4 linked regions of the Lepisosteus oculatus genome follow. The protein of the gene in region 3 interacts with the protein of the main gene of each other region in a biochemical or structural test. Links are inferred from orthologs where the notes say so. Each region holds a gene or a part of one and is shown on either strand. Other genes may lie near its edges.

Evidence for each region.
Region 1: the proteins of esr1 (region 3) and phb2b form a complex in vitro, tested with the Homo sapiens proteins (3 studies listed by BioGRID). The link is inferred for Lepisosteus oculatus from reciprocal best matches to the Homo sapiens genes ESR1 and PHB2.
Region 2: the proteins of esr1 (region 3) and ahr1a form a complex in vitro, tested with the Homo sapiens proteins (4 studies listed by BioGRID, with this or other methods). The link is inferred for Lepisosteus oculatus from reciprocal best matches to the Homo sapiens genes ESR1 and AHR.
Region 4: the proteins of esr1 (region 3) and nrip1a form a complex in vitro, tested with the Homo sapiens proteins (4 studies listed by BioGRID, with this or other methods). The link is inferred for Lepisosteus oculatus from reciprocal best matches to the Homo sapiens genes ESR1 and NRIP1.

Annotation. Positions count from the first base shown.
Region 1 is NC_090708.1:1,899,051-1,905,975, reverse strand, and holds the start of phb2b (prohibitin-2b), read right to left. Parts: upstream 3,015-6,925; 5' UTR 2,928-3,014; coding exon 2,907-2,927; intron 150-2,906; coding exon 20-149; intron 1-19. Other genes in the region: uncharacterized protein, read left to right, coding at 4,738-5,020, 5,164-5,327, 5,464-5,643, 5,800-6,072.
Region 2 is NC_090705.1:2,282,542-2,290,531, reverse strand, and holds the start of ahr1a (aryl hydrocarbon receptor 1a), read left to right. Parts: upstream 1-4,977; 5' UTR 4,978-5,726; coding exon 5,727-5,788; intron 5,789-7,990. UniProt on the Homo sapiens protein: Ligand-activated transcription factor that enables cells to adapt to changing conditions by sensing compounds from the environment, diet, microbiome and cellular metabolism, and which plays important roles in development, immunity and cancer.
Region 3 is NC_090697.1:48,519,740-48,527,710, reverse strand, and holds the start of esr1 (estrogen receptor), read right to left. Parts: upstream 3,005-7,971; 5' UTR 2,732-3,004; coding exon 2,277-2,731; intron 1-2,276.
Region 4 is NC_090700.1:317,811-325,051, forward strand, and holds the start of nrip1a (nuclear receptor-interacting protein 1), read right to left. Parts: upstream 3,019-7,241; 5' UTR 2,704-3,018; intron 2,695-2,703; exon of another isoform or gene 2,550-2,694; intron 1-2,549. UniProt on the Homo sapiens protein: Modulates transcriptional activation by steroid receptors such as NR3C1, NR3C2 and ESR1. Also modulates transcriptional repression by nuclear hormone receptors.

The sequences.
Region 1 (6,925 bases), on a different chromosome or scaffold from region 3:
CTGTCGCGCCCATACGCACCTGTGTATGTGGCCTCTTTGACCCCGTAGGCCAGAGCCCCGGCTCCCAGCAGCAGCTTGAGGCCCATGCCGGCTCCCCTGGAGCCCGAGGACATGCGGCTGGCCATGTCCCTGAGCTGCTGCACAAACCTCTGCGGGGCAAAGAGAGCACAGGCTTAGCCAGCACGCCTGTCTGGCGTCCTACTGCCCCCACAGGCAAGGGGGGGGAGTCAAGTCTGACACCGGGGGGGGTCAACTCCATCCCTGAGGATCTCTTGTCAGGACCGTGTGGGAAGACGGAGCCCTTTCGGCTTTTACACACCACGCCGCACCTTTCTGAAAACAGACCACCAGCCTTTGATTGGATTTAGTCCTGCGTTAAAAACTACCACCGCTAAGATGCTGCACTTCATTTCTAGAGACAAGGTACAGTCGTGGCCAAAAACATCGGCACCCTTGCACTTTTGGCAAATAACTCACAGTTTTCTCTAAAAATAAGTTGCAACTGACCAACTTATGTGGTCTCCACAGTTCTTTATTTCACTGTTACTATTACAGAACCGTTGTTTTTGATTCAGGACTTAATCTATCCTTTTAAATCAGAAAATAAAAAGAAACGGCATTGCATTGACAAAATTATTGACGGCCCAGACTCAATATTTGGTAGCACAGCCTTGTGTCACAATATCTGCAATCAAGCGCCTCCTATGGCCACCGATGAGCTTCCTGCACCTCTGTACTGGCAGTCTGGCCCACCCTTCTCGTGCCACCTGCTCCAGGCCTGCCAGGTGTGAAGGGTGCCCTCTCCCAGCTGCTGTTGTCAGATCTCTCCACAGGTTTCCAACGGGTTTAGATCTGGACTCATTGCTGGTCCCTCCAGAACAGTCCAGTGTTTTGTCCTGCCCCTTTCCCGAGTGCTTTTTGAAGTGTCCGGTGTCATCGTTGAGCTGGAAGACCTATGACCTTCGACGGAGACCCAGCTTTCTGACTCTGGGTATGACATTGAGCTCCGGAATGCCCCGGTGTTCTCCTGATCTCAAGACGCCTTGCACACGCTCAAGGCATCCAGCGCCAGTGGCAGCAAGGCGACCACACAACATCCCTGAACCTCCTCCATGTTTCACTGTAGGGAAGGTGTTCTTTTCCTTGAAGGCTTCATTTCGTTTTCTGTAAACATAGAGGCGGTGTGCTTTACCAAAAAGCTCTAGTTCGGTCTCATCTGTCCACAGGACATTCTCTCAGGAGGATTTTGGCAAATTGCAGTCAGGCTTCCTGATGTCTCTCTCTCAGCAGCGGGGTCCTCCTGGGTCACTGAGCTGGCGAGGGGGGGTGCGTGTTGAGACTGTCGCACCTCGGCTCTGAAGGTCAGCTTGAATCTGTGTGGCAGCTGATCGAGCTGCTTTCTCCACCATTCGAACAACCCTTCGCTACAATCTTCGATCAAGTTTTCTCTTAAACTTCTTGATAACATTACATACAGTGGAAACAGGAACATCAAGGTCTCTGGAGACGGACTTGTAGCCTTGAGATTGTCCACGCTACAAAAGAATGTCTTTCTTTTCTCCATGCTCATTGTGGTCCACACAGTGACACAAAACAGGAGAAAGAGTCCTTTTCTCTATTCTGACTGGCTGAACTAGTGATTTTTATATTGCAGGCACCTGCAAATCACCACAGCTGAGTTCAATTCCAAAGTAAAGGAGAATCACCGGCTTGAAATAGAATTATTTCTAAACGCTTGTAGAAGGTGCCAATAATACTGTCCGGGCCATTTTAGGATTTCTTGTGGAATAAGCTTAGTACTTAGTACATAATTCAGCTTTTTTTGTTTGTTTCACTGCAAACCAAAGCAATACAATGTATAAGAAATACATTTTTAATTTCAGCATTTGTCTGGAAGAAGTGTAGCATTATTTGAAAAAAATGTGCACGGGGTGCCCATATTTGCGGCCACGACAAATATTTATTGCAAGACGGTTCCTCCGGGTCTCGCCCGGGAGCAGCCAGCCTGGTGACACAGAGCCGTGCGCGTCTGTTCCGAACCGGCTCGTTCTGGGTTTGAAAATAAAACACAGGTGGGAAATCCGGTGCTTCCAGATACCGCGCAAGTTTCATCGCAAGAATAACATTCGCTCAGGTTATGAAACTCAGCGGCTGAGGTGCCGCTGTGGGCGAGCGCTCCCCCTAGTGGCGGCACCGGGCATCGCCGCGCTGACTTCTTCGGACAAGGCTGGACTCCATATTTACTACATCCAGAACATTCCTTGTCTTGGGGCCGCGGCGGTACGTTAATAACCAACACGTTTACACCAGGTTCCTTGAGGACACACGGATAAGTCAAAGGCAGAGGAAGTCTGAAGGGTCTAATTACAGACGGCGTGATGCAATGTCACCGACCCCCACAGACTCCAGCGAGACGCGCCGTATTGCACCGGTTGCTACAGCGCCGAGCTCTTCAGATCACATATCTGTTAATCAGAATGCTACACACTAGCTTTGAAAAATAAAACAATCCAGTCCCCTGCATATCGTACGCGGCCAAGATCCGCTGTCTCTTGTGACCAACAATATGAAGTCTAACACGGCCTCGTTAGTCCAGGCACAAAAAGCAATCCCTCTACAGCATTTACAGCAGTATTACTTTATTCTGCAATTCCACGCATAGACTTAAAGCTCGGGGAACACACGTCTTGAATTATTTGGTAGGTTTATTCTGGGAAAACAAAACCATATTCACGTTAATCAAAAAAAAAAAGATGAAGCCTCAGACAGAATGACATCAAACCGAGCTTGGCGCCACGGTCTTTACGAAAACAAGAATGTAACTATCTCACGGGAAAGCACTAACTCCACGGCAATGTGTTTTAATCGGCAATATTTCCAAATACGTGTGTAATTTCCATACTCACACTGGGCTCCTTATTCGCCATGCTGCCTGCTTCTGTGTTGCGCTCTGCCTCGCTGCAAGGTCAACTCACTGCACTTCCGGCTCCCTAAGAATGGCCCTCTGGGAAATGTAGTTCACCACAGAAGACACGTGATGACGTTATTTTTCTTCTATCGTACTCGCGAACGAAGTGATTTTCAGTAATCCGCACAAACCGAAACGTAATCCCATTCAGATGACCCGTGTTACTTCCATAGACTAGTTAACTGTAGCGAATATAAGCTTAACTATAATATATATAACTTTTCAAAAATTGTATGAATAATAATAATAATAATAATAATAATTGCTTACACTTTTATAGCGCTTTTCTGGACACTCCACTCAAAGCGCTTTACAGGTAACGGGGATCCCCTCCACCACCACCAATGTGCAGCCCCACCTGGATGGTGTTTGTCCACTGAAACCACCCCCCAAAAATAAGGAAAATAAGGCCTAATAGAGGTTTGAACACTTAAAACCAGACCAGATTAATTTGATAGTTTGTTGCTTATTGATCCAAAGATCGCAGCTTGTTCCACACTCCCACCACGCTTTGTGTAAAGAGCTGCCTCCCGCCCACGGCTTCTCCGTAGTTTCCCCTGGTTCGTGCGGACTCCTGAACCCACGGTAACGCTGGGACGACAGATGATGCTCCTGCAGTTTGAATTCGGACGGAACCGATTTTGTAGCCTTTTGCCCCGTTTTCAGGACAAGACCTGCTGCTGGGAGTCTGGCGGTGAGCGCGAAGGTGAAACACTGTGTTTCTCGCCGCAAACTCTCGACGATTTTGGAAGCTTCCAGCAAACGGCGGAACTGACTCTCCCACATTTTATTTTTACAAACGTCGGCATCTGTTACCTAGAAGACCCGGGGTCTCTGGGCTGTAAGCAATGTTAAAGATTGGTGCCGCTGGTCGTAGCTTCCCAAACGACCCTCCCAGTGTTTCTGGGGCGCCGTCCCCAGTTTATTTCTCACGTTTTCGGCTTTAAGAACTGAGACCTGCTGGAGCAAAACAAAGAGCTCTTCTTCCCCTCAGGTTTCACTGGACGTTAAATAATACAAGACGGGGTATTTCAGGGCATGCCTTTTCCAGTTCTCATATACTGTATATATTGAGCGAAACGAGAGACTTTTGTTTTTGGTTTAAGCGGCGAAAACACATCACTCTGGATGTCAGCCCATACAGTTGTGTTTACAGCGTCTTGAGAGAGACCCGCAGTGACCCGCACTGAGCCTCACTGGCCTCTCAGCCACAGCAGCGCTTCTCAGCGCCCCGGTGCTCTGAAAACGACCCCGATGTTACGCAGATCGGTAAACAGATGAGTTGACAAACGTAACGCTATATTCAACTAACTCTTAATGCCTAAGAGCTGCGCTGGAAAACCGGACGCAGTTCATTGATTTGCACATTAAATGCTTAAAAACGACTGCGCTTGGTGAATGGGACTTAATAAAGCTAAACAAATTTCATATTTTGATTGAATACACAGAGAATCAGGAACCACTTTTTTAATCAGTTGCGCGTTTTTTTGCCTTATAAAACGGCTAAGCTAATTAGTGTTCCCCTATCCCAGGATGCCTAGCGGCAGTGCGCGGAAGCCGCGATGACATCACAATCCCTTAGTGACGTGCTGGAGTGCATCCCTTTACCGCCTAGCAACGGGAGGACATCACAATTTTCTTATACAGGATGTCACATAGACCCCGCCACCTCGCCAGTCGCCGGGGTATAAAAGGGGCCTCCTGTAGAAACCGGTTGCAGTTGATCGCACTCTGATTCGTGAATACGATTTGTGTGTTGTCTTCTGCCTATGGGTCAACGACACAGTGACCCAGGCAAGCCACTGGCTGCCACCCCACCAGACCCCCCCCCCCCGAGTGAGCCCAGATTCGCCAGGGGGAGGAAGAGGAAATTCCTCAGGAGAAGAGCCAAGGAGAAGGAGGAGGGAGATTTCCCTATGTTCCTCCTGAACCTGATGACGGTGTTTGTCTGTTGCGGAGGTGTCTCTCCCGTAGAGAAGCCCAAATCCCGCACCCGCAAGGACGACACCTCGGCCACAGCGCCCCCCACGCCTGCCACCCCCACTTCGACCGGTAAGGAGGTTCTCCTATTAGCCTGAAGACTCTCAGCCCCCCTCCTGTGCTCCTCCAAGGCTCCTGGCTACAGTGTTTGTTTACCCAGGAGCCTCTCTCTGTCCTCCGTGTCAGTGACATTCTGCTCTCGTGCTGAATTCCAGACCCCGACGCAGAGGCACCCCCCAGCGCCCTCCCCGTCCCGGGGTCCCCCGAGGAAGATGGGGGTGACGGGGCCGAGGAAGAGGAAGTGATGGGGGTCCGGCCCGGCGAATACGGGGACCGGACCGAGGACGCCGGCCCAGAGCCCGTCGGGGGCCCGACAGTGGTGAGTCGGTCCTGCCGCCTCAGCCGAGTCCCCAGATCCCACTCCTGACTCCTGAAAATGGAGGGTTCGGGCCTGGATGCGATCCCTGTCCGACCCCACGCTCCTCAACTCCTCTGTCCTGTCTCTGAACTCACAGCCCCCCGAGTCTCCCCCGGAGTCTCCCCCAGAGTCTCCCCCGGAGCCGCTGCCTGCGGACGAGAGACCCCCGGGGGCCCCACGATCCGTGGGCACCCAGGCCAAGGGGAGACGGACCAGACCGGAGACGGCGCCGGCCCGTGTTGGTGACCCCGCCCCAGCGCCAGGACCCTCTGACAAAGTAAAGCCCCTTCGGAACCTCTCCTGGGTCTAACAGTGCATAACCTCCCAGCTCCTCCTGCGCACGGCCGAGCCGAGACACCCAGTCCAGAACAGTCGGTCGGTTCTGTATTCCCAATCCTGACCTGTCTCTCCTGGCCTTCCCCCTGTTTCCCAGGAATCCCAGCCGTTCCTGTGCCGCTCCAGCTCCAGCAGCCCGGTCACCATGTTTGGATCCTTCGCCTTCGACTGGCAGCCCCCCGGCGTCCCCTCGCTGCCGCTGGGCTGGGAGAAAGACGAGGAAAAGGAGCAGGGGGCGGCGGTCCGGACCGGCGAGCCGGAGCCGGACTCCGAGGACGCCAGCGTCTCCGAGGGGGCGGAATCTGCCCCCGCCGGAAGTGCCGGGCCCAGCTCCGAGGCCCCGAGCCTGGAAAGGGAGGGCAAGCTGTGAGCGCAGGGAGAGCGCCCCCCACAGGCTGCCACAGGAAGCACATGAAAATAAACATTTATTTCTGCACAAACTGAACGTGTAGTCCCTGTTTGGCTCTGGCTGCTGACACAGCTCTCTCACACCCGCAGGTTCTCTCACAAGGCCACAGTCTGCGCTCCAGACTCTTTATAAGTGGCCTCTCGCTCTCAGAGACCGGTCTGAAGGTGGGGTCCATTCAGCCCAGCTGCTCGGTCACCCCGCAGCTCCCAGATGGCAGCCCACTGCAGTCCAGCAGTGTGAGCCTGGCCACTACCTGGACGGGAGACCTCCTGGGAAAGCTCAACCTGGTGCTGGAAGAGGTGTTAGTGGGGCCAGCAGGGGGCGCTCACCCTGCAGTCTGTGTGGGTCCTAATGCCCCAGTACAGTGACAGAGGCACTAGAGTGTAAAAAGGCACTGTCCTTCAGACGATACATAAAACTGAGGTCCTGACTTTGTGGTCATTAAAAAATCCAGGGGTGTTTACTCGAAAAGAGTAGGGGTGTAACCCCGGTGTCCTGGCCAAATGTCCCCCAGGCCTTCACCAGTCATGGCCTCCTAATAATGCTGAAATGTTGATCATTGAAGCTTCCACAAGAGGGCACTCATCACTCAAACGTTTTTTCTTTCAATGGGATTAGAAATGTATACACGCCAAGTATTGCAGCAAAAAACACAAGACATCCGAATTGTGTAAAAATTCGAAAAACGAAGTTCTGTAAGAGCAGGACAGAAATTCTGTGGTAAAGGTACTCATTCTGTCTGGATACAGGAGCTGTGAGGATACAATTTTCTGAACCGTCTACATTTTGAAACCTCATTCATAAGCATTTCCAT
Region 2 (7,990 bases), on a different chromosome or scaffold from region 3:
TCAGAGTGCTGTGTCACCTCTGGGCTAGTAGGCAGTTCCCTGATTTCCCTGAAATGTGTCTTATTATTTCAACATTCAAGTCTGGCTTCCTCATACAGATTTAGAAATGTTTACACTAGGGTATCAGCTAGGTATTATTAACTAGACAGTGCTTAAGCACCATATCGATTAAGATGTGGGATATCCAGTCTCCTATTTTTCATGATCATTAACTCCTCAGAGGCTGTTCTCCCTTCTCTTTTCAAGAGTGGTGTGATTATGGAATTCACATACTGACATGTTTTTTTTAAAGTGAGCATTGCCTTCATTTGTCCAAGCAATATGAGCGTTTGGGCACTTCTGTACCTACTGTACAGAAAAGATCTGCTGTTTTTGCAGAAAAGCTACAAAATGTGGTTTCAGTGCACAGGCAACATCCATGCGAGAGATTCCCAGATGAGAATATATGCTGTGTCAGGTCATTCCCTGCTTTCATTGAAAATGTTTAAGGCTCAGCGTTAGCCTGGTGTACTGCAGCAGTGATTTGTAAGTGTGTACTGCCAAATGATCTAAATTTTTTTCAGTTTTAATTTGGGATGAGCCACCACAAAATGTCCTTATAAATGCCAGTGGTGTGTTGGTACATCCTTTGAAGCGAACAGTATTAAACTAAAGAATAAATATGTACTTAAACCCAGGGTATTAAATGAATCTACCAAACCCAATTAATTGTAGATCATGGATGAAAACAGACAAAGAAATCAGATTACTATAATCTGGATGTCAAATTGGGATCCATCCACACGATAAACTCTTTTTAAACAATCTTACAGCACAAGTTAACATTTTTCATGAAATAAAGGTCGTCATGTTTGACAAAGCCAAACATGATATTTCCCAACTGCTTGCTTCATCGGGAGTCAACAGGAGAGCACCTCCACTCTATGCCAACTTGATTTCTGACCCTGGTTTGTGGATTTCTGGTCCATCACCGAAGTGCGTGGCCCGACTCCAGTTCTTTGGGCAGAGGTCACCAGGCAGGAAGAAATTATCGGAATGTACACAGGCCCCACGGCCATAAGGGAAATAGATGTGCTTGTGGTCCGATTCCTTGCATAACAGTGTAACAGAAAGATCCAAAATGTCCAAAATGACCTGGGTGCCCCAAAGCTCTCTCTCAATGGATGTGAAACTTTGCCCCATTTTTGCCGGATCCAGGCAGCGTCTGGGTGTCACGATGCTGTACAGTGCACTTGCTCACAGGGGTATATAAGAAGGGAGAACACTACAAAATCTTTTTGCACTCTTTTCCTGATCTTTGTGTAATTTTGTGCACCTGTATTCATTAAATTTTACCACAGAAAAGGGTTTGAATATTTATCCAATCTTAGCTTTTCTATTTTTCTTTTATATTAATGATCTTTGTGTTTTTTTTTCTTTGTATTTTTTTATGTGTGAGGCACATTGTGTATATACTATAACAAATATTTATCGCAATTCCAAAGTGTCGTTTCTGCACGATTTAAAGCAACAAAATATAGAAACTGCAAGGGTCTGAATACTTTTGCAGGGAAAATTGTAAATGTCGAAGACATGCACATAGGAAATGACATAACAAAACCGAAGTTTTATACAAATGTATTTGATTGAATTCCTTACATTTATGTGTCTAGGATCGTTCTGACTGTCAATGAGACATTCCATTTTTAACACCATAATTGTGGGTTTAAATGAGACCATGACGCAATATTTTGCAGCCAGAAAACAGACAAAATACAAATTCCCTGTTTTATTCTGAGCTTTCAGGCCTTGGAGTTAGACTCATGGGTATTTAACCAAGCTGCTGCTAGTCGGGCAATGCTAAATAACCATATTACACACAGAAATATATTTAGCTATTGTAAAAGTTTCAAATGTCCAAAGTTCAAAGCCAATTTTTTATAACCCTGGCTCGTCCAGAGACAAAGAAATTCATTATGGCAGTGTATGGCTCCAATTTCACATGAATCTTTATGAGCTTTAGGAACAGGGACGCATGAGTCATGGGAAAATTGCTCGTTATTTTCTTTAAACAAGACAAGTTGTTTGCAATTATTCCTGATAAAATGTTTCCTGCAACACTACAGAAACAAATTAACGACTGTTTTGTTCACTTACAGTGGTCTGCTTTGCCCCCAGCATTATTCCAAATTGTAGAATTCAATTAGGAATTTCAAAATGCAATCAGTTGTCTCGGTCAGATATTGGATTACACTTAAATGTGGTTCATAAAACATTGAAAAAAACTACCAGGAGGTTTCTTAATGATGTTGCATTGTACAAGCTAATGAATGTAAGTTCTAACAAATGCTGCACATTACCAGTGAACTGTATGGCATCTTCATAATGATAGCCCTCCTCATTCAGCATTTCAAGAAAATGGTTTGAAAGAAGAAGATGAAATGAGAGATCAGCTTGTTATTGCATGTTCATTTTCTTTTGCGTCTCTCGTTTCAAATATAAAATTAGGGCAGCACGATGTAGTCCGTAGCATCGCTGCCTCACAGCACTGGGGCCCTGCGGTCGATTCCTGAGCTGCCATCTGTGTGGAGTTTGCATGTTCTCTTCATGTTCATGTGGAACGTGTAGAAAACACAAACATTTACGGTTTTATGAACAGAATGCGTATTTTTTGGGAAAGCATTTAACAGTGGCAGTTTTTAAATAATAATAATAATAATAATAATAATAATAATAATAATTGCTTACATTTATATAGCGCTTTTCTGGACACTCCACTCAAAGCGCTTTACAGGTCATGGGGATCCCCTCCAGCACCCCCAGTGTGCAGCCCCACCTGGATGATGCTCCAGAACGCTCCCCCCACACTAGCTCTCAGTGGGGAGGAGAGCAGCGTGATGAAGCCCGTTCAGACGGGAACAGGAAGCCACGAGTTGCAGGGCAATATGGCTGCTATATTGTTTCTTATTTAAATTTGCTGAGAATGCAATAGATATGTTTGGCGGGCTAAGTTTAATTTAGTGGTTGACACAAAGGATATGAAACCAGGAGCTTCCTGGTTCAGCTCCAGAGCCACCCAGTGATATCTGAAAGCACGCACGTACTGTAGGTCCTGTGACTTGTTTTGTTATTGTGGCCATTTTGTTTCATTTTACGATTTTAGATGTCTTGACAGAAATTATTTTTTTTAATCTTAAATATTTTTCTCTTTGAAGAACATAACATAGAGTACAGTACAGCTCTTTCATAATGTACAATATTTTTTGCTTTCATGCTATGGTCTTTATCCAGTACAGTGTCACAGGGGAGCCCATCCCAGCAAGGGACAGGCACAAGGCAGGGTGCACCCTGGACAGCACGCCGGTCGGTCCATCACAGAGCAGACAGAGACACACACCCACGCGGGTCCATCACAGAGCAGACACAGAGACACACACCCACGCCGGTCCATCACAGTGCAGACACAGAGACACACACCCATGTGGGTCCATCACAGAGCAGACACAGAGACACACACCCACGCCGGTCCATCACAGAGCAGACACAGAGACACACACCCACGCCGGTCCATCACAGAGCAGACACAGGGACACACACCCACACAGCAGGGCCACTTTTCCCAGAAGCCAATTCAACTTTGGACTAGTAGCCAATTAGCCTTTGGACTGTGGGAGGACACCAGAGCACCTGGACATTAGATCATATGGACTCCACACAGGCAGCACCCCAGGCCCCAGCACTGTGGGGCAGCAGTGGTAACCACTGCATCATCACGTCGACCTTACAGGACTTCACGAATAAGTTAAATATGTTGAACTTTATAGATTGACGGCAACACACAGATGACCGGTTTGTGTCTCTGTGAAAGATATCGTTGTGCCGTGTTTTAATTGAGAGCTCTTGGGTATTTTGTCAGAAAAACACACTGGAGCTGATGAAATAACGCGGATCTGTTTAGAAACTGGATATGCTATTGACGCAGCAGCAATCTATCAGAGCCGTACAGCAAGAGACAGGGGCACCGTCTCTCAGTCTCTCAGCTATGTGGGGGCGTTCTGGCCCATTATTAAGTGTAAATTGAATATACATCTGTTACGATCCGATTTCACAGCCTGTCGGGGCCAATTTAAACGCAGGTAACATAAACTAAAGCACACATTTATCCAAATATAGCGCACATATCATCACCAGCTGAGGTAAATTGAGAAACTAAAGACTAAAGGGGAAAGCCTCGAATTTATAGGGCATATGCACCAAGTTATTATATTTCCCCAGCGTAAAAAAAATATTTAAATAAAGTAAATAAAATTAGAACACCTGACTTTCTCAATCCGCGATTCCTCTGGCACTTCAATGATCTAATTAGGTATGCAAAACAACTCCCTGTATTGCTGGAGCGATAAAAATAATATATCCACAGAAATAATCTAAGCAATCAGTTCCTTCACATTAGATTTGAATCTGGTTTAATCCTGCTAATCCTATATTGTTTCCTTTTAATACCGTACAGTACGAGAAAAATGACGTCAATTCGTAGACGTGCGGGTATTAAGCGTCAATGCACGCTTTTTAATACTTGGGGAAATTGCAGCACTGACAGATAGACAGACGATCAAACCACATTTACGAAAAAAAAAATACAGATGATTCTATTATGATCAGAATGAACCCACCACAGCGCCCACGCCACTCTTGTATGACCTTTTGTTGGTATCTACAGTTTTATTTCTGCTTCAATTGGGATTTGCAGTTCGTGATTTTTCTGTCACCGCAAAATTACAACCGTATCGCAGCATGCAGTTTTCCTCGAATTGGTAAACGCTGCCTGCTAATCTAAACCGCGCAGTTTACCGGCAGGCTGCGTTTCCCTGCCGCGACCTCACCAAGATGGCCGCCGCGCCGGGACACCCGCCTCCCACGCCCATGCCCCGCCCCCCGACGTCCAGGCGTGCGTCAGCGTCATCGGGGCCGGGACGCAATGCTTGGGCGTGTGTAACCTGGGTCCGTCCAGCTCGCAAAAAGCGACATTGATTCGCGCACAGGGGGGAAGGAGAGAGGGAGAGACCAGTCTGCTGGCAGGGAGGAGGGGACGCAGGAACCCGAAGCAGCAGCAGCGTGCGGATTCAGAGAGTCGGCCCGATCCTTCGGAGCAAGAACAGGAGAAGGGAGGAGAGGGGGAGGGGAGGAAAGCTCAGGTGGTGCCCCTGTCTCGAGACACCTGGCCGCGGGAGAGCGCCCGGCAGCCGTCACGTGCGGGAGAGGGGAGCGCGCGTGGAGAGGAGAGAGCGGCTCGAGCTGGGGGGCGCGAGGAGCCCGGGCGCGTCAGTTGCGCGGTTACAGCCCGTCTCGGTTGCGTCAGGCGCTCCGGCGAGCACCAAGTTCACGGTCTTACTGCGGTGACCTTTTTCTCTTTTCCTTTTTCCGTCGCTGGAGGAGGAGGACGACGACGACAGGAGGGAGGTTTGACAGGGTTTCCCGCGACGGGACATGGTTCTTAGCAGAAAATCGCCCCTCTTGATCGCCACCTCGATCCTGTCGAGGACACCCTGCTTATTTTTGTGAAAGGCGAAGTGCCGTCGTCGTCGTTGTTGGTTGTCATTGATTTTTTTATTTTTTTTTGGAGGGGAGGAGGGAGGGATTGTGGGATCTATAACCTTGATACCAACGCCACCAGCAGCAGCGGCAGCGGCGACAGCGATAAGGGCCGTGAAGCGAAAGGGAATTTCGTGTCCTGCCGAGAGACCAGGATGAGCAACAGTACGAGCAGCATTTACGCGAGTCGGAAGAGGAGAAAGCCCGTGCAGAAGAGGTAGGACCCTCCGCAAGCACGCCTATGCATCCGAAAGAAAGAAAGAAAGAACCCCCCCCCCCCCCAAAACGATCTTCCAAACACGTCGGACGGTCTTGCCGGCTTTTCTTTTCAAATAGGTGCGCGTCTCGCGTGTTTGATTCGTGTTGCGGCAGCCGGAGGTCTCCGTGGCGTTGCTCGCTCGGAGATTAGGAGGATTTTTTTCTTTTCGTTTTTTTTATCCGGGGGGGGTGAAATACTTATGTGTTGTTGTTGTTGTCGTTGTAGCAAAGTAGAACCCCCCCCCCCCCCAGCAAACCCAAAGCCTCCTTAACGTTTCGCATTGGTCCGGGAGGCCGGAGACGCCGCCGCCGCAGCCCTGCGGCCGGAGTGGCCTTTACGCAGCCGGTGCGACAGGCCTGGAGACGCCGTGTGTCTGTTCGTGAGGGGTCGGGGCGCAACACCTGCAGGACCGCCGTGTCCTCCAGCCGGGCAGGGGAGGGGGGGGGGATGTGAAATGGGAGAGATGGTATTCGGACCCCTGGCGGCCGGTGACGCACCCAGCCCGTCTGTGCTAGCATCTGGAACCGTTCGCGGCTTTGCTCGCCCACTTCGCCCTGGCGGGGTCCGTGCGGAGGACAGGCGCCCTGAAGCCGTGCCCTGCCCGCCCGCCCTGGGACACGGCTCTGCCCCTGGCCGTGCACAAGCCCCATCCGTGCCCCGGGCTGGGCGGATGCACGGCCTCGGTCCGGTCGCTTTCCGCTAAGCCTGCTGGCTCGGCACTGATCCACGGAGACCCGCACAGGCCGGGCGACGGTCCCCGCCTCGGAGCGGCGACAGGACGGCGTGTCTGGTGTGCACGGCGAGACAGACCCCCTCCAGTTCCCGGTGCCACGCTTTCCGCGCTTTTGCCGTCTGCTTGCATGTACATGCTGTAGATATCCGACTTGCATCGGGCTTAGAGCTGTGCAGACAGTGGCGAGCAGAGACCTGGAAAGCTCATCAACGCCTCCTAATGACGCAGCTAAATGGTCGGATGAAGTCGCCCGGAGCTCGGCTTGCACTGGAAAGCCCAAATTGTATCCCGACTTTTGCAGGGCTTGAGTTCCCCCAAAAAGTAACCGAATGCTGGCCATCTCCAGAGCTATTAAAATATTCATGTGGAAAGATCAGGCCTGGGAGGAATATTTGGTGCACTTCACCTTTCTTCATAGCTGCAGGGCAGCCAGCACCAGCATTGTCTAGTGCCGGTGTGCGGCGGGGTGGGAACAGAGTTACCGACGCGTGTGGATTCACATGAGAAAGGGATACACATATGAATATGATGATGTGACACGTTCTGCGGCATCTGCTGTTCTGCACCCGAGGGGTTGCGGAGACGTGTTATCCGCGGCTTGAACGCATTTCCACAAGTCGGTTTAGCAAAACCTTAAATCGGTTCAGAAATGAGTCGAACGCAACTCATCCGTGCCCACGGTGCCCTTTTATTAGCATTAGCATTAGGGAAAGGGAAGGCATCGCAGATCCCTGCATATTATGATTGATGAGAAATACAGCGCTTTACTTGGGCTCTCTTAGAGAACAGTCAAACTCTTAACACGGGCGAGACATTAAAGCTTGAAACATACTTTTGGAGTTGTGCTCATCGCTCATTAGTGGGATTGAATGTTAAGTTACATTCAGCGTTCTTTGACGTACCTGAAACTCTAACCCATAGATTAAACCACAACCTCAACCCAAAGCCTCTCTTTCAAACACCAAAAGATTTTTTTAAGATTAGGTTTTTTTTTTTAAAAAAAACGGTACAAATGATTCAGATTCCTTTCATATGGCCAGTGAAATCTTGGCTCTATCCGGGCAGTGTAGCCTGTTTGGAATAGTTTGGCCCAAATGAAAACTTTAACACCCCCGTGAGTCACAGATTCTAAAATGAGACCTTTTCTGCTGGATGGGCCTCTTGCCGGTGCCTTGTGCAGTTTTTAAAAGGGTAGAGTCCCTATTGTTTAGACGGCATCAAAGCTATTTTGGTAGAAGAGGACAAGTCAAGCAATGCGCTGCTTTCCATAACTCCATTAAGCAGCAGGGTTTTAAGAATGAATCAAAGGGCTTGTTGATAAGTCAAAATAGTGCACAGAATGTGCCATTCTGTGCCTGAGAGTACGTGACCTGTTTGTTTACAGCACTTCCACATTAAGCACTTAGAGAGAGAGACCTCGGCATTAG
Region 3 (7,971 bases):
CTAAATCTTATAGGTCGGGCAGCGTTTTAATATAAAAGGCTGATATCTGTACCACAAGTATGGAAGAATTGAACAATTTTGTTCAATTGTGTTGTGACCAAGGCCACTGTGCCTTTAAACCAGGCAAGCAGGTCCTTTTTTTCCTTTCAGGCAAACTGTGTGCGAATATTTCTTTCCATGTTAAATTAATTAGAGTGGCTATTTGTCCACAGTTTGCCTTCTGGGAAAAAAAGGACATATCACTCTGCAAGCCAGCAGCCATATCACTCTGCAACTCACAACTGGCAACCCACTGAAGCTAAGCAGGTGTGAGCCTGGTCAGTACCTGGATGGGAGACCTCCTGGGAAGAGGTGTTAGTGGGGCCAGCAGGGGGCGCTCGCCCTGCGGTCCATGTGGGTCCTAATGCCCCAGTATAGTGACGGGGATACTATACTGTAAACAGCCGCCGTCCTTCGGATGAGATACAAAACCAAGGTCCTGATTCTCTGTGGTCATTAAAAAAATCCCAGGGCATTTCTCGAAAAGAGTAGGGGTGTAAACCCAGCGTCCTGGCCAAATTCCCATTGGCCCTTACCAATCATGGCCTCCTAATAATCCCCATCTCTGAATTGGCTTCATTACTCTGTTCTCCTCCCCACTGATAGCTGATGTGGGGTGAGTGTTCTGGCGCACTAGGGCTGCCGTCGCATCATCCAGGTGGATGATCCAACATCTTTTGTTAAATGCACAGTGGTGGTGGAGGGGAGTCCCCATTACCTGTAAAGCTCTTTGAGTGGAGTGTCCAGAAAAGCGCTATATAAGTGTAAGCAATTATTATTATTATTAATAAAACTAGGCCTTAGAATCTGAAGAGACCCTAACCCTAACCCTAACCGAAAGGCAGATCTCTTCAGATTCTAGACCACTTTCTTGTTTCATAATACTGTACAAATTGGAACTGAAATTCAGTACACGTCTAATAATGCTAAAGCATCCAACATCTTTTGTTGAATGTCTGATTATATAAACTATTGAAGCAGCTGTGAAGTATTCAAGTGATGCACACCACATGCTACCTTAAGTGGCATTGCTGAAAGTAAAATGAGCTGTGTTGTTTTTTGCAAACTATAGCTTTTATGTAGTTAGAAGTTCATGCAATTAGCAATCTTATAGATTACATTGTTTTTCGCCATATTTATTAGGAAAAAATGAAACCTTTACAGTAATGCTTAATGTGAAAGTGCTATTTATTTTAAAGCAAAAAACTCAGATAAAGAACATGCCTTGGGTTCCCTTACAGTCCTGTTACCAGAGTGATTTAATACCACAAATAATTATTGAGTCTTAGTGAGAAATTAGTGAACTATTTTAATATTTTCCTTTTTAGGTCACTAATACCAAATAAAATAAAGGTATCCATAAAAAGAGTACACTAAAACACTACTGCATCTAAACGTGATTGTGAGTGAGGTTCAGTGTTCTGATAATATCCAGGGAAAATTAGAGCACATGAGCAAAACTTATTCTTGATTTATCTTCCTGGCTGTATAATTGCACTGCACTAATCCTTGAACTTTAGAATGATGTAATCATACAAATTCCCTGGATTATATGAAACAATCCACAAGAAAGAGACAGACATCAGTGTGAAGCTTAAAAAAACAATTTGTCAAAGGAGCCAGTATTTCAAAATCTGTTTCATTATATGAGTGGGAAACTCCTTCACAGTGACCACAGCAAATCTCATCTGGGACTATTCGGCTAAAATAATAAATCTTCAAAAACTTATATTAGAAGGCAACAACAAATACAAAACGAACTCATGGTCATGTTTTTCTTCCCTTTATGAACTGAGACTGCTGCAGACACTGATAATTTGAATTCTTGGCTTTTAACTAGATGTTTGTTTTTTATCTCTTAGTTCTCTTGCCTGTTTCAAAACTACTTCTGTAATTTTTTGGCGCTCTTAACAAAATCCTCTCGAATCTCAGTGAAGAACTGGAGTATTACTCCTGTTGTAACCCGTCATGTTCCTACATGACAAATACTGACACTAGTTCCCAGACACCCTTGAGTCCCTTTCTGATTTTATTGACCCTTACAGCCAGAGAACAAATTACAGGAGTCGGCTCGAACGTGAAACACGACTCGACTGAACTAATCGTACTTTTCTTTAAAGTTGTCTGGAGCGCCCATTGAGGGTGGATCTGGTTGTTTGAAAGCATGAGCAGTTTGAGAATACAGAACAGGGGCAGCTGCGATCTGGAAGCTGAAAAACAAACCGAAGGCAGCTTACCTGAAAAGAGGGGTGGTGGCAGCTTCCCTCAGCCTGTAGCTGCCCTGGTCACTCTCCAGGTAGTAGGGCAATTGCTGGCTGTGGTGGTGGGGGTGATGGACAAAAGGGGAAAGCCGAGGGTTGGAAGGCACAAACACCAGGGGGCTCGTGGGCACGCTGCCCAGGGAATGCAGATTGGCATCGGAGGCAGAGCCATGAGTGTCCACAGGTGCCGAGTGGTAGCTCACGGTGGTGGGGTTGTAGATGGGGGTGGCAGCGGGGGCCGTGGTGAACTCATAGGTGCCATCCAGGTAGTTGACAGCTGTGCTGTTCCTGTTGTCCTCCAGGTACATCTCGCCCAAGGCTCTCTCTGGGGCCAGCTTGACAGGTGAGCTGCTGAATGCTTCCAGCTCTCTCGTTTCGATCTTGTGCAGCAGAACTAATCCGGGGGGCTTGGTGTAAGGCGGCCTAGCCATGATCAGAGCAAACAGATAATTAGCATGGTTTGTTTTCTTTTTTTCTTTTCCTCCCAGCTCCCACCTAGCACTTTCAGAAGAACGTGATCCTCCTCACTCTTTACAAGACGAAAGCAGAGTGCACAGCCGGAGCCTGCCAGAGATCATTTTTGTTTTCTTATATGTGTGCGTCTGAGAGAGAGAGTGAGCGTGTGTCTGTGTGAGTGTGAGCGCTCTCGTTGCTATGAAAAGATTTTCCTCCCCCTACACCCCAACCCCTCCGACACATTCACAAACCTTTTTATAGTTTTTAACTGGTAGGTGGAGTGAGCGAGGAAACCTGGAGTGAGATATTTCACAAAAAGAAGAAGAAAATAAATCAATTGTAACTTTTTACTCCATGTCAGCATAGATTCATATCAATGACACTGGCATAAGGCCAGTCAAGGCTGAATTACACTGGCATTGGTTTAAATGATCACTTCAGGCACACGTAATTTAGTGAGGTAAGTATTACATGAATATTTTACTAAATCATACAACAAGGACAATATGTGGAGCATAAATGGCCTGGATTCAACCTGGGATTCAAGGTGATTATGTTCCTTCTGGAGGCCACAAGTGAGTCTAGGAATCACTGTTTACGTTCAACACGAACTCCTGGAAGTCAAAACTCACTCCTCAGCTTAACCTGGTGCTGAGGAGTGAGTTTGCCACGCACTAATGACGCCATGGTAACAGCTTTTCACATCTGTGGTGGTCCAAGTGGTTACTGCTTCTGATTTTACAAATATTTTTAAAAGATTACAAATACAATTTACTGGGCAGAATATTAATCTACAAATCTGAAATTCACTTTGCAATTGTAAGACATCAATGGTCGCCACAGGAATAACAGTAAAGCAACAAAACATAAAAATTGTTGTAAAGTACAGAATATACTCTGAAATCCATGTGTTATTCAGGTTCATGAGTCTCAGAGGAAGGTACCTTCGTTAACAGGTGAATGAGGATTTGGTTCAGCACAACTAATGAGGTATTTTTTATCAGCACCAAGGGGTGCTCTCTTGAGCAAATACTAAATTATCTTTTTTCAGTTTGCTGTTAAAAGGAATTCCCACTTAATACTTTTAAATATTACCAGGACACTCCCAGGTAACTTTAATTTTGGTTCTCTAATTTTAGTAAACCATGACATCACTACTGTGGTCTTGAATGTGGCAGGTAAGACTTTCTTGTGTGCAAGCTCTTCTGCACTTTTTATCTCTCTTTTTGCATTTGTTGTTAATTGTTTCATCCTTGTTGAGATTCGGTTTTAGAAAATACATTTAAAAATGTGGTAATTCTATGAAATATACTGAGTATCAAAAATAACATCACTCAATTGCACATATTTGTAAATACAATTTAAAAATGTTAGATATTGATTTAGAGCAAGTGAGAAGTTACAAATGAATGGGTGCAATTTGACTCATTTGGTAGTTAGTAATTAATTAATGCAAGGATCTCATCCAGATATTTCTTGAAAGAAGTCTGGGGATGGACATCAGCAACATAGCTCGGTAGCTTGTTCCATACTCCCACAACCCTTAAGTATTTTTGGTATTTTTAACTAATTTATCAGTCATAACCAACTGCTATATTTTTGAACGACTTTGACTGTTACATAAACACCTAATTAAGCAATTAATCACCTCATTAGTGAGAGATGGGTAGGGAGATGAGATGATTTAACCTTGACTGTCAAGAAAAAGCAAGAAAGATAAACACAGAAACACAGAAATCAACTAATGTGGCTTGCTTTTTAAGAGAACATATTTTAATTATTTCTTGCACGTATACCAAAAAAAGAAAGTCATAAACATTTTAAAGAGGCTAGAATGGGTAAGAAGCCAATAAAATCCACAAGGAAGATATCAGAGAGGTTACAGAACCAAAAGGGAAAAACAAAACAAAGGATAAGTCAATTAAATATTTGAACATACAGTCAATGTAAGCAGTGTTGGAAAAAATACATGAGACAGATGCGACCAAATGAACAGGTAATTATGATGTAATTGGAACTGCAGATATGTGGCTTGCCAAAAATGATGGAGATAAAAGTGAACTTAGTGATTACATACAGCAGGAAAAACATGAGAGGCGTGTTGTACATGCGATTTGTATGACCTCATTTTACCTTTTGTAAAAAGTGTAGTTTCCGTATGTGTTTTTTTATTTCTTACTTTTTTTTTAGTTTGCTGTAAATGGAAAAGTTTTACCATAAGAAATGTTAAACAAATTGTAACGGGTGGAAGATTAAACAGACCCAGAGGAGTGTTTGGGTATTTAGATTCCCTGGTAGTTGCCTATGTGTGCTGTTTGGAAATGGCAAGAATTTGTTCAAACAGTGGATTCAAGTTCAGGAACTAAACCAAGAGGAATCTAGGGTCTCTAAATCTATGTGTCAGGCACATAAAAACATTCTAACAGGGTAGTGTTAAGACTATGCTATTGACCAGATGGTATATATATATAAAATTAATATATATAAATATATATATAAAAAATCCAGATGGTAAATATAATTCAACATTGTGTAATGAAATTAAGAATTTATTTGTAAATCAAGAACATTTTAATGGGAGACTTCAACTTTTCCCATGTAAATTGGAAAAATCTATATATGAGAAACTGAAATAATAGACTTAGTTAATGACTGCTTGATTACTCAGTTTGTAGGAGCACCGACGAGAGAAAACATTCATATTGATCTTGTGTTATCAAACAGAATGAGGTGAACAGAGGTGAGGAAACCATACCTAATGGCATTAGGAAATGAAAGGAAATTAACATTTGACATTTACTCTGAAATACAGAGTTTACAATTTCAGGAAAGAATGAGACACATCTTAGTATGTACTGTAAGAACAGGATGGGTATGGAATGGATAGTAACAGTTTGAACAGATTCCACCTGAAGCACAGAATAAATATACTGTAAGAGTATATTTCATCATAAACCAAGACACAAATGATTAAAAAACAAGATAATCTCTTTAAAAAAGGAATAAAATGAATTGAAAGCCCAGATATAAAAGGATATAAGAGCTGATGAGAGAGATGGAAAGAAACATTTTCAGTAAAAGGTTCTTTCAGTACTACACCAGCACAAAAACCAAAGGATTAAGTAAAATGTATCTGAGAAAATAATGGAACTTCTAGGCAATCAAAAGGAAATTATGTACTAAACGAGGAAGAAGTCAACATTCCTCGGGCAGCAGAAAGACAAAGTTCTTCATTAAGAAGAGTTAATATCAAAAATGCTCTAACCACTCAAGATTAATAACTCCAGCGGTACTCAAGGAAACAAGAGATGTTATCCCTATGCCATTATAAGCTTCTTCCAAAAGTCCTTTCAGAGAAAGTTAGTGATGTTAGACTGGAGAATTGGTAATGTAGTGCCCATTCAATAAAAAGAGTGTCAAAACTGAACCAACTAATTATAGACTAGTATGTCTGACTACTATTAAATGTAAGGTTATAGAAACAATTACTAGAACTAAACGAGAGGATAACTTCTATGAGAACAAGGTCTTAAAGGATAATCAAGATGGATTTAGAAAAGGCAGGTCTTGCTTAGCTTACATGTTAGAGTTCTTTAAACAAGAAAAAACAATAACTGATACACACTAACACACAGATTATACAAAACATTTTGTTAGAGTTTCAAAAGCTTTTGATTAACTTCTTTACAAAAGATAATTTTCAAAATACAAGTGGTAGGCATTGAGGAAAATGTGTGTGGTTGAACTGAGAATTTGTTAATAGAAAACAGAGACAAGGGACAAATGCTCAAACTGGGGTAATATAATCAGTGGAGTACCACAGGATCTGTACTACGAAAGCTATTCTCCCTTATTTATATCACTGGTGTAGATTCTCCTATAGTTATCAAACTAGTGAAGTTTGTATATAACTAAATATAGTAGTATTAAAAAATAGATAAATCAAAAGACTGGCAAACATTTCTGGCTGATGAGGTTGTTTATGATGATGAACTGTAAATAAAAAAATAACATATGAAGAATACTTAGGTGTTTATGTTGACAAATGACATGCTCAAGACAATTCGAGGAAGAAATAAAAAAGGAAAAATAGAATTTTAGGATAGTTAATTGCATCTAATCAAGGGATGTTATCTTAAAATCGCATAATACACTAGAAGTGAGAAAAGAGCAACTAAATTCATTCTTGGGCTTTAAAGTCTTGAACAGAGAGGACTATGGGAAGACCTGATACCAGTATTCAAAATCCTGAAATGTATTGGCAAATTCATCCCAGAAGAGTTCTTCATAAAAACAGAGAAATGTAAACCAGAGGACTCAAATGGAAAATGGAAACTGTGTGAGATTACTCTTATGATTGAAAAGAGGTAGCATTTTCTTACCCAAAGGGTTGTGGGTTTAGGGAACAAGCTACCCAGCCATGTGGTTGAAGTCGATACCCTGGTTTTTATCAAGAAATGACTTGAGATCCTTGGATCAATTTGCTAACTACCAAACAAACTAGAGTGGCACTTAAATGGCACACAATTATCCATGCTCAATGAGAGGAATGGGCTAGCATTTGCAACCTCATGAAGTACAACTCGTACTGGTTTCCAGTGGTGACCATGCATGCTCCTAACCTATGACTTTCACAGTAGACTTCCAGTTTATCATCCCTGTTGAACACAAATGTTAAACAGTATCATGAATTGGCCTGTATCATGACTCTTCAATAAAATTTCAATGTACTACATGCTATTATTTTGTGTTGTCATTTTCCTGTTAATATCTTTGCAAATGTGTTGCAGCTATAATTCATAAGTTTCATTTTAAACAAAGTATTTTACATGAAACTAGAACTTTTTTAAGATGTCACCTTGTTTATACAGGGAGTAGGTAATCTATGAACTTTATAATTATAATATAAAACTGTTTTTTAGTGTTACAATGTGTGAAAAGAAAATATAAATAGTAATTCATTTGGACTAGCAAACATTGTTGACCACTGATTTTTTGTCAGAGTTGAATGCTTTATGTATTATATCTATTATATCTATTATACCTATATACATTACATATAGAAAAACACTTTAATAATCCTTTTTAATTACTTTAACCCCATGATCATCCTTTATCCTTTTAGAATGATTTTTCAAATAATTAGCTTGAGAAACCTTAAAAAAAACTTAAATGACCACACAAAAAAACTTGTTTTGAAGATTTTTTTTTAAAC
Region 4 (7,241 bases), on a different chromosome or scaffold from region 3:
ATACATCCATTCATTCTGAAATGGAGGTTCAAAGGACATCAGTGAGCACCTGAACAAATAAAAGAGGAGTTACCCTCTGTGTGGCTCTGCATCTGACTTTACAACCTTTCCGACTTAGACCTTTGGCCTTTCAACCCAAAACATTGATCAGAAACAGAAAAAGTTAATATAACAATACTAAACCTACCTAAAGCCAAATCCATAAATATTTAACTTTTTTCTTCAAACAGTCAATTCTGATTCCATGTACAAAGCAAGAATAAACATTTTTAATGACAAGATGAGGTTTAGATTTTGTTCTGCAGAACCGAATGAAAGTTTTATAAACACTGCAAAAAACCTATTGGATTTCCTCCAATCCAGAGAAAAGGTTAGTGAATTTCTTAACATATAATAAGCTTTTAAATTATCCAACAAATCTAACAAAGCATTCAGATTTCTTCATTAGAAAATATATACAGGATCTGCATCCAAAGCACAAAACTTAAAATTCTGCAAGTTTGCAGGAATCCATTCAAAACAAATTCAACAAATCAAAATGCAAAAAATAAGGATTAATTATCTTATTCTGAAAGCCACAAATGTATGCATGTGATCCCCCAAAACACCTATGTAAAATGTTTTATATAAAGAACAATCTCAAATCTGATGAAAAACCTACCCTATTCCAAAAACATGACCACTTCATTGTTCATACAATTTTAAGTATACCATGGACAAAACATAACTTTTAAACCAAACTTGACCAGAGTTTTTAATTTTTTTAATTTTCTATTATCAAAGACTTCACAAAATAGTAAGAAATGTGAATAGCATGTGTTCATTTACAACACGATAAATAGGTCCTACAACAAAATGCATTAAATAATCAACACTACATTCTGAGCAGCTCACAGTAAAAGTATTTTTCATGTCAAATCTATACAAGTGAATTAAGAAATCCTGTACAATCGGATACCAATGAGCGCAATAGGACATGGTTCTGAAGCCCCTGCTTCTAACGAAAGGTATTCAGCAGAAAAATCCAACTTCAATCCAGTAGTATCCATTGCACTTACTATATCGTGTGCGAGTTCCTAGTTGCCAAGTCTCAGTCATTCTGCACGAAGTATGTGTATCCCCACAACTTTGAAAGATGCCTTGTTGGTATCGCAATAACCAAGAAGCTCCCCATTAACTAAAGAGCACCCCCTCCTGAAAGGGACTTGATATACAAGCAACTATCTAAATTCTAAATTCTGTGAAAACACAACTAGCAAGCTCACACGCTGTATTTTAACAAACTGGAAATGACCCAGTCACAAATTAATGATAATGTCTGCTGTTGTGATGTAAAGAAAACCAAACTAACGGCGCTCCCAATAAACACATCTTGAACTGTGAAGATCTCAGGGATCAAACAGCTTCCCCAGTGATGATGAAGGTCTATCAGTCCAGAAGAGCACACACAGGCTATGAAATGGTCGCAAACGGTCTGAAAAATAATTCCGTATTAGGCCCTAATCATACTGAAGATGTTTAAAAAAATAAGTCTTTTGTGGATGAAAAGTATAATCGCAGCCCTGTAAGAACTCTTTAAAGGTCCTTAGTAAACGAAAAGATGTTAAGATTTCCGTAAACAATTAAGCAAAAAAAAAGCAAAAATTAGAATTGACATTTTGAGTATATTTTCATTACAATTAAGAAAACTATTATGGTGTTTTCTCTAGTTTGTGGTTGTGCACGTGGGCTGCTGTCCGTTTCAGTTTATGACACCAAGTTAAATTTCTGATAATTAGTAACCCTGTAGATTTTCCAATGGGTTACTACAGACTTCCTAAAATTTCAACAGCGCCTACAGAGCTAACCTAAAACGGTACTTTTACAGGCAGAGACAGAACCACTGTTCGCAAAGTAGTACATGTTTAACATTACTATCTGAATTCCAATCTTATCAACTAAATTTTGTTTTTCTGCTGCAAAACATAACGTTACGTCTGATGGCCACGTGTGCCAGTGTATAATTACAGAAGGAACTTCTCTATTCTGGATCGAAACCATATGATCCACCTCTTACAGCACCAAGTTAACTATTGAATTGCAGTCCTGCTATGCGTGCGCTACCATAGTCTCCCATTTCATGAAGCTACGATAAACAGCTTGCTAAAAAGTGTTTGTCTTTAAAGGCCACGTTGAACCCGATGTTATTAGACGCCTCGTCAATGTTCCATTGGGAAGCTATTAAGTATTTCAACATTAAAGCATAAAACATGCAAAAATTAAAGACATCAAAAAGAAAAGGGCAGAAAATGCGAGATTTTATTCTGTTGAAAATGAGCATTTAGTAAACTAACTCCACCCGCACACCGAGCCACAACGATGAACACGACTCCGCAATTCAACCCGCGACCACAGCGGAGATGCGACGGACCTTCAGAGGCACTAATGTTGCATTCAGCTGATAAAATAAAACAAAATGGAAACTACGTTTCTACACCAGTGACGTGAGGCACCGCTCACCGATCACTAAAGCTCCATTTTAGGCAGCACTTTAATGTCGATATACGTACCCAACTGTGCTAGAACCTAGCTTTTCGAAAAAATAAATATTCCAATGTTTACACAAATGCGTGTTAATGTAGATAAATTCATACTGTCACAGATCAGCAGCACGGCCCTATCTCCGGTGCTAGCGCCTTGCAGTTCCGCCAGATATACACGTACCTGCCTGGTTATGGACAGGACTCCAGCAAAGACATGAGTCGCGTCTCTGGAAACGTGGGAAATCCTTTTGCAACCTGCTTTATTTCGGCTCACTTGATATCCGTGACTATATACAAGGAACGAAAAAAAAATAAAAAAGCAAAGGATACAGGCCACATATAAGCATTCGTTTTCCTACGAAAACCTATATAATAACAATTCTCTGGGAAAAATAAAACGCCTCTAGGTCAATTTGTAGCAATCGAGCTCCGCACTCCGCAGTCGAGTCTGGCTGAAGTGTTTATACTAGGAATCCCCCAGCAGTCTGCAACACAGGCTCTCTCCTCCCCCAGCGCCGACAGCGCTTAAAGGCGCAGCGACGCCACTGCTCCTCAGCCACTGAACTTCACAGCTTCTGTTGCTTCGGATTGATCGAAATTTCCCAAGAAAGGACACAAGGAGAAGCTAACAACAGATTTCTGTAGAGAAATTATCAGTTCGAAGCAAATAACTTTCCACTAGGATCGTCGAGTATTTGTTTAGTGTAGGGTACGTGGCAAAGTGTCAGTGGTTGCAATTCTTTGTGCCTTTTAATACTCCAAAAATGACGTTACCATGACATGAACCATTTAAGAAAAGTACATACGTTAAAATATCATACAGTTTCGTTTAACAATATAGATGTTTGTTTGCGGATAATAAAATAAATATGGTTTTGTCGTTGTGTTAAATCAGACGTTTGTTTTACTACTCCCCCAAATACAGGCTGACTTAAATAGAAATGAAAAAAGCCCTCACTGATCTGGAAGGTAGATGATGAAGAAAACTGGCAGCCCTTTGAACAGCACTGCTGATGGTATAACACCTCGTGTTAGAGCTGGTTTAGGCCAAGGCTCCTCCAGTCCCTTAAGTGACTCATGCTGGGAGCTTGTTAGCTGCTGGTGGTTTTTCCTAGTTCTCTGGTGAATGAGAAGCGTTGAATCCTCATGTACCCAACCCGTCCCCAGATACCTGCACTTTTCTCGCAGGGCAACACATTTCCTGCTCCCCGCTGAGACCCCCAGAGCTCCCACCCCTGCGGCGCTCTCATTTCGCCAATAGAGCAACTTTGAGTTTCTGCGTGCAGGGCCTGATCTCACGACCCTGTTCCGAAACCCGCGGTTTTACCCCCCGAAATGTATGAACAAACGTGTCGTAGCAATAGCAACTAAACGGTAAGGCACTGCGACCCCATGTCAAGAATTAGAACTCAAGGTATGACTCCTATAAAAGTAAGGTTAGTTGAAATCATGGCAAAAATGTGTTTTTATATTGAGATGGTAAATCCTTGAGCTGATCCTAATCATGTAATAAAAGCGTTAAACGCCTTTGTTGTAATCAGCCTATTATATTTATACTTTTTTTAATTTTTATCTCTGTTAACTCATCCAAACGTTCGTGACTGTCACGATCAGGGATTTTTTGTCTCTTGGTGAGCTGAAATCAGCATTTTCTGTCTAAGGAGGGGAGTGATGTTTTCAATGTATAGTGTATATACACTATACAGTTATATCGTATTGCAATATAATGTACACGTAAAAATACAAAATGCAAATAATTGTTATGTGCTTGGAGAATATGACCTTAACAGTGAGGTCGAAGGCCACCCAAACAGCATTCTGTGTTAATCCTGAGGTGCGAGGGACGTTTGTAGAGTTATTTGGTAAAAATGACACATGACAAAACATTTTATTTTTTCCAGAAAAAAATGCTCCAATGTTGATCTCATAGAATTAAAACAATAGAAAATTAATTAAATGTAAAGTATGTAGGATACAATATATTGATAACACGATTTAGATTTTATTTTAAAAGTACATATGAACCTCATTTTTAAAAGAAGAATTCAAATTAAAACAAGCTCAATTTTTATTTCATTTTCAGTTTTTGTTGATAAAATTCAAAACCAAATCCTAAATGACTTTCCTGTGTCTGTTAAATGCATATCATCAGTAGTTTAACCTATATCTGGCCATAGAAACTTGTACACTCCTGACCTTTCTTTCTTGAACTTTGACCTGAAATACCCTGTGAGGTGACACCAGATCTGCACCACGACTTCATTACCCTTCCCCCTGCCTTCCTGCTAGGGATTCACAGGGAGCTGGTTGGAAATTAAAACTTTGCCTTGTGGCAGTTCCAGGCAGACAGACTTCTGGACACTGTGAGTCTGCATCATCCAGGGGAATTATGTAAAATAAGTGAATGTGCTCGACCCAGTGAGCTTGACTGAAAACACCACGTGTTCTACAAGAGTAATTTGTAGTAGCTAATATGGAGAATTTTATAAAATGATAATAGTGTTTCATAATAATGTGTAAATGGGATCAATATAAATCCTGCATGGAGCAACTGATTGAGCATGGTTTTCAACATTTGGTGTGTAAAAAAAAAACAAGTAATTTTCCACACTGCGAGGAAATCCAACAGGGTTAATTAAGCAACTCTTTCTCAAGGATGATCATTTTTAATTTTCTTAAATATGATACATGGCAAATTCTAACAAATATGACTAATGGTAATCATATGGTAATCATAAAGTACACACATTTTTAAATAATTTGAGCACACGTTTTAAAATAAATAAAGCAGTCGACTTGTGCTACAAAAAGATTGTTAACTTGTTTTTCTCGAAGCTGTTGCTCCACAGTCCTGGGTGGATATGAGTGCCCTCTGTGTGGAGTTTGCAGGTAATTCCCAGAGCCCCTTTCTTATCTCCTGGTGTTTACATTTCAGGACTTACTGAGAAGAAATTTAGGCCACTAAATTGTGTGTGTGCATGTGTGCATGAGTTTAGTTTGTGTGCATGTGTGCTTGTGTGTGAGTTGAGTTTGTGTGCATGTGCATGTGTGAGTGAGTTGACTTTGTGCACGTGTGCATGTGTGCATGAGTTAAGTTTGTGTGCATGTGTCCTTGTGTGTGAGTTGAGTTTGTGTGCGTGTGCATGTGTGTGTGTGCATGTGTTCATGAGTTGAGTTTGTGTTCATGTGTGCATGAGTTGAGTTTGTGTTCATGTGTGCATGAGTTGTGTTTGTGTGTGTGCGTGTGTGTGTGAGTTGAATTTGTGTGTGTGTGTGTTAATTGAGTTTGTGTGTGTGCATGTGTGTGTGAGTTGAGTTTGTGCGTGTGTGCATGAGTTGAGTTTGTGTGTGTGCGTGTGAGTTGAGTTTGTGTGTGTGCGCATGTGTGTGTGAGTTGAATTTGTGTGTACGTGTGTGTGAGTTGAGTTTGTGTTTGCGTGTGTGCATGAGTTCAAGTGCATGCTCAGTGATGGACTGGTGTCACACTCCCACTTCACACCCATGCTTCTTAGAGTTGCTTTATCAGGAAGAAATGACTTTCTGATAACAGATGGGTGGGTAAAGGAAATTATTAAATATTCCCAATTCTTAAAAATCACACATAGGAAAAAAAGGAAGCAGAATAACTTTTTTTTCATAATTTGCCAAAAAAAGAAATTAAATAAAACCTGGTGAGATTTTAGTAGGCCATTAAGTTAACACCCTATTAAAACCACTTTAAGAGTTCTTGTAAAGGGCCCCTGAAGCTTTATGAGCCACAGCCTTTAAATCCCACACTGCTGTCCTAATCACTGTGTGCACTGTCCAGGTCAGGCTGGGAGCTGTGGAGAGAGAGCTGTCCATAGAGTAACTGTCAGGCTAATCTGAGACCTGAGGGGTGAGAGCAATGTCCATGGAAAAATATAGCCCTTCTCTTCAGCACTCTTTCCTGAACTATTTATTCTGAACATAGTGAACTCGGGCGTATTTGTCCCAATGAATAATTTAGTTTCCTTTACTACAATGCATTAAGAATTGAAGAGAAACTTTTCTTGATATATACACAGAGTTAGTGAATTATTCATCACTTTTTGTATAGTGTATTGTTGGAGAAACCGTAGATATTGTTTTATTGTCTTATACTGGAGCTATCGCTTTGTCCCCATTTTAAAAGTTTGCATTAATTTATATCTTACAGTGCATTTCAGAGTGAAAATCTCAGAAATATACATCCACACATTTAGCACCTGTTTATCTTCGTCCAATTTAGGGGATAGAACATCCTACATCCCTGGGAAAACACGTTCATTGGAAGTGTACCATTTCAAACAGCTGATAAGCATGTGACAACACAAGTTCTGAGTTAGAATCTCATTATTGTCATCTGTAAGAGTGCTGTGTTTGAGCTCTGCCGCATATTGTTAAACAAGACATTAATGTTTTTTTACCCTCAGATAATACAAGCATGAGAATATCAGCATCACCCACAACACAAATGGTGAGATTGATCCTTGTAGGCATATTTAGACATGTGCAGACATGAGGATACCCGACTGACTGTTAGCTGAGATGTAAACAAAAGAACAAAAATGCATTTTGATTTTCCCTCCATAGGAGTTTTTTTTACCACTAGAGAAGAGAACATAGTTGTATACTTGAACATCATGTAGCTTTTGGAATCCAATTTAATTATGCTAAGTGGCAGATTAATTCTCTTTGATTAAACTACACAGAATTTGC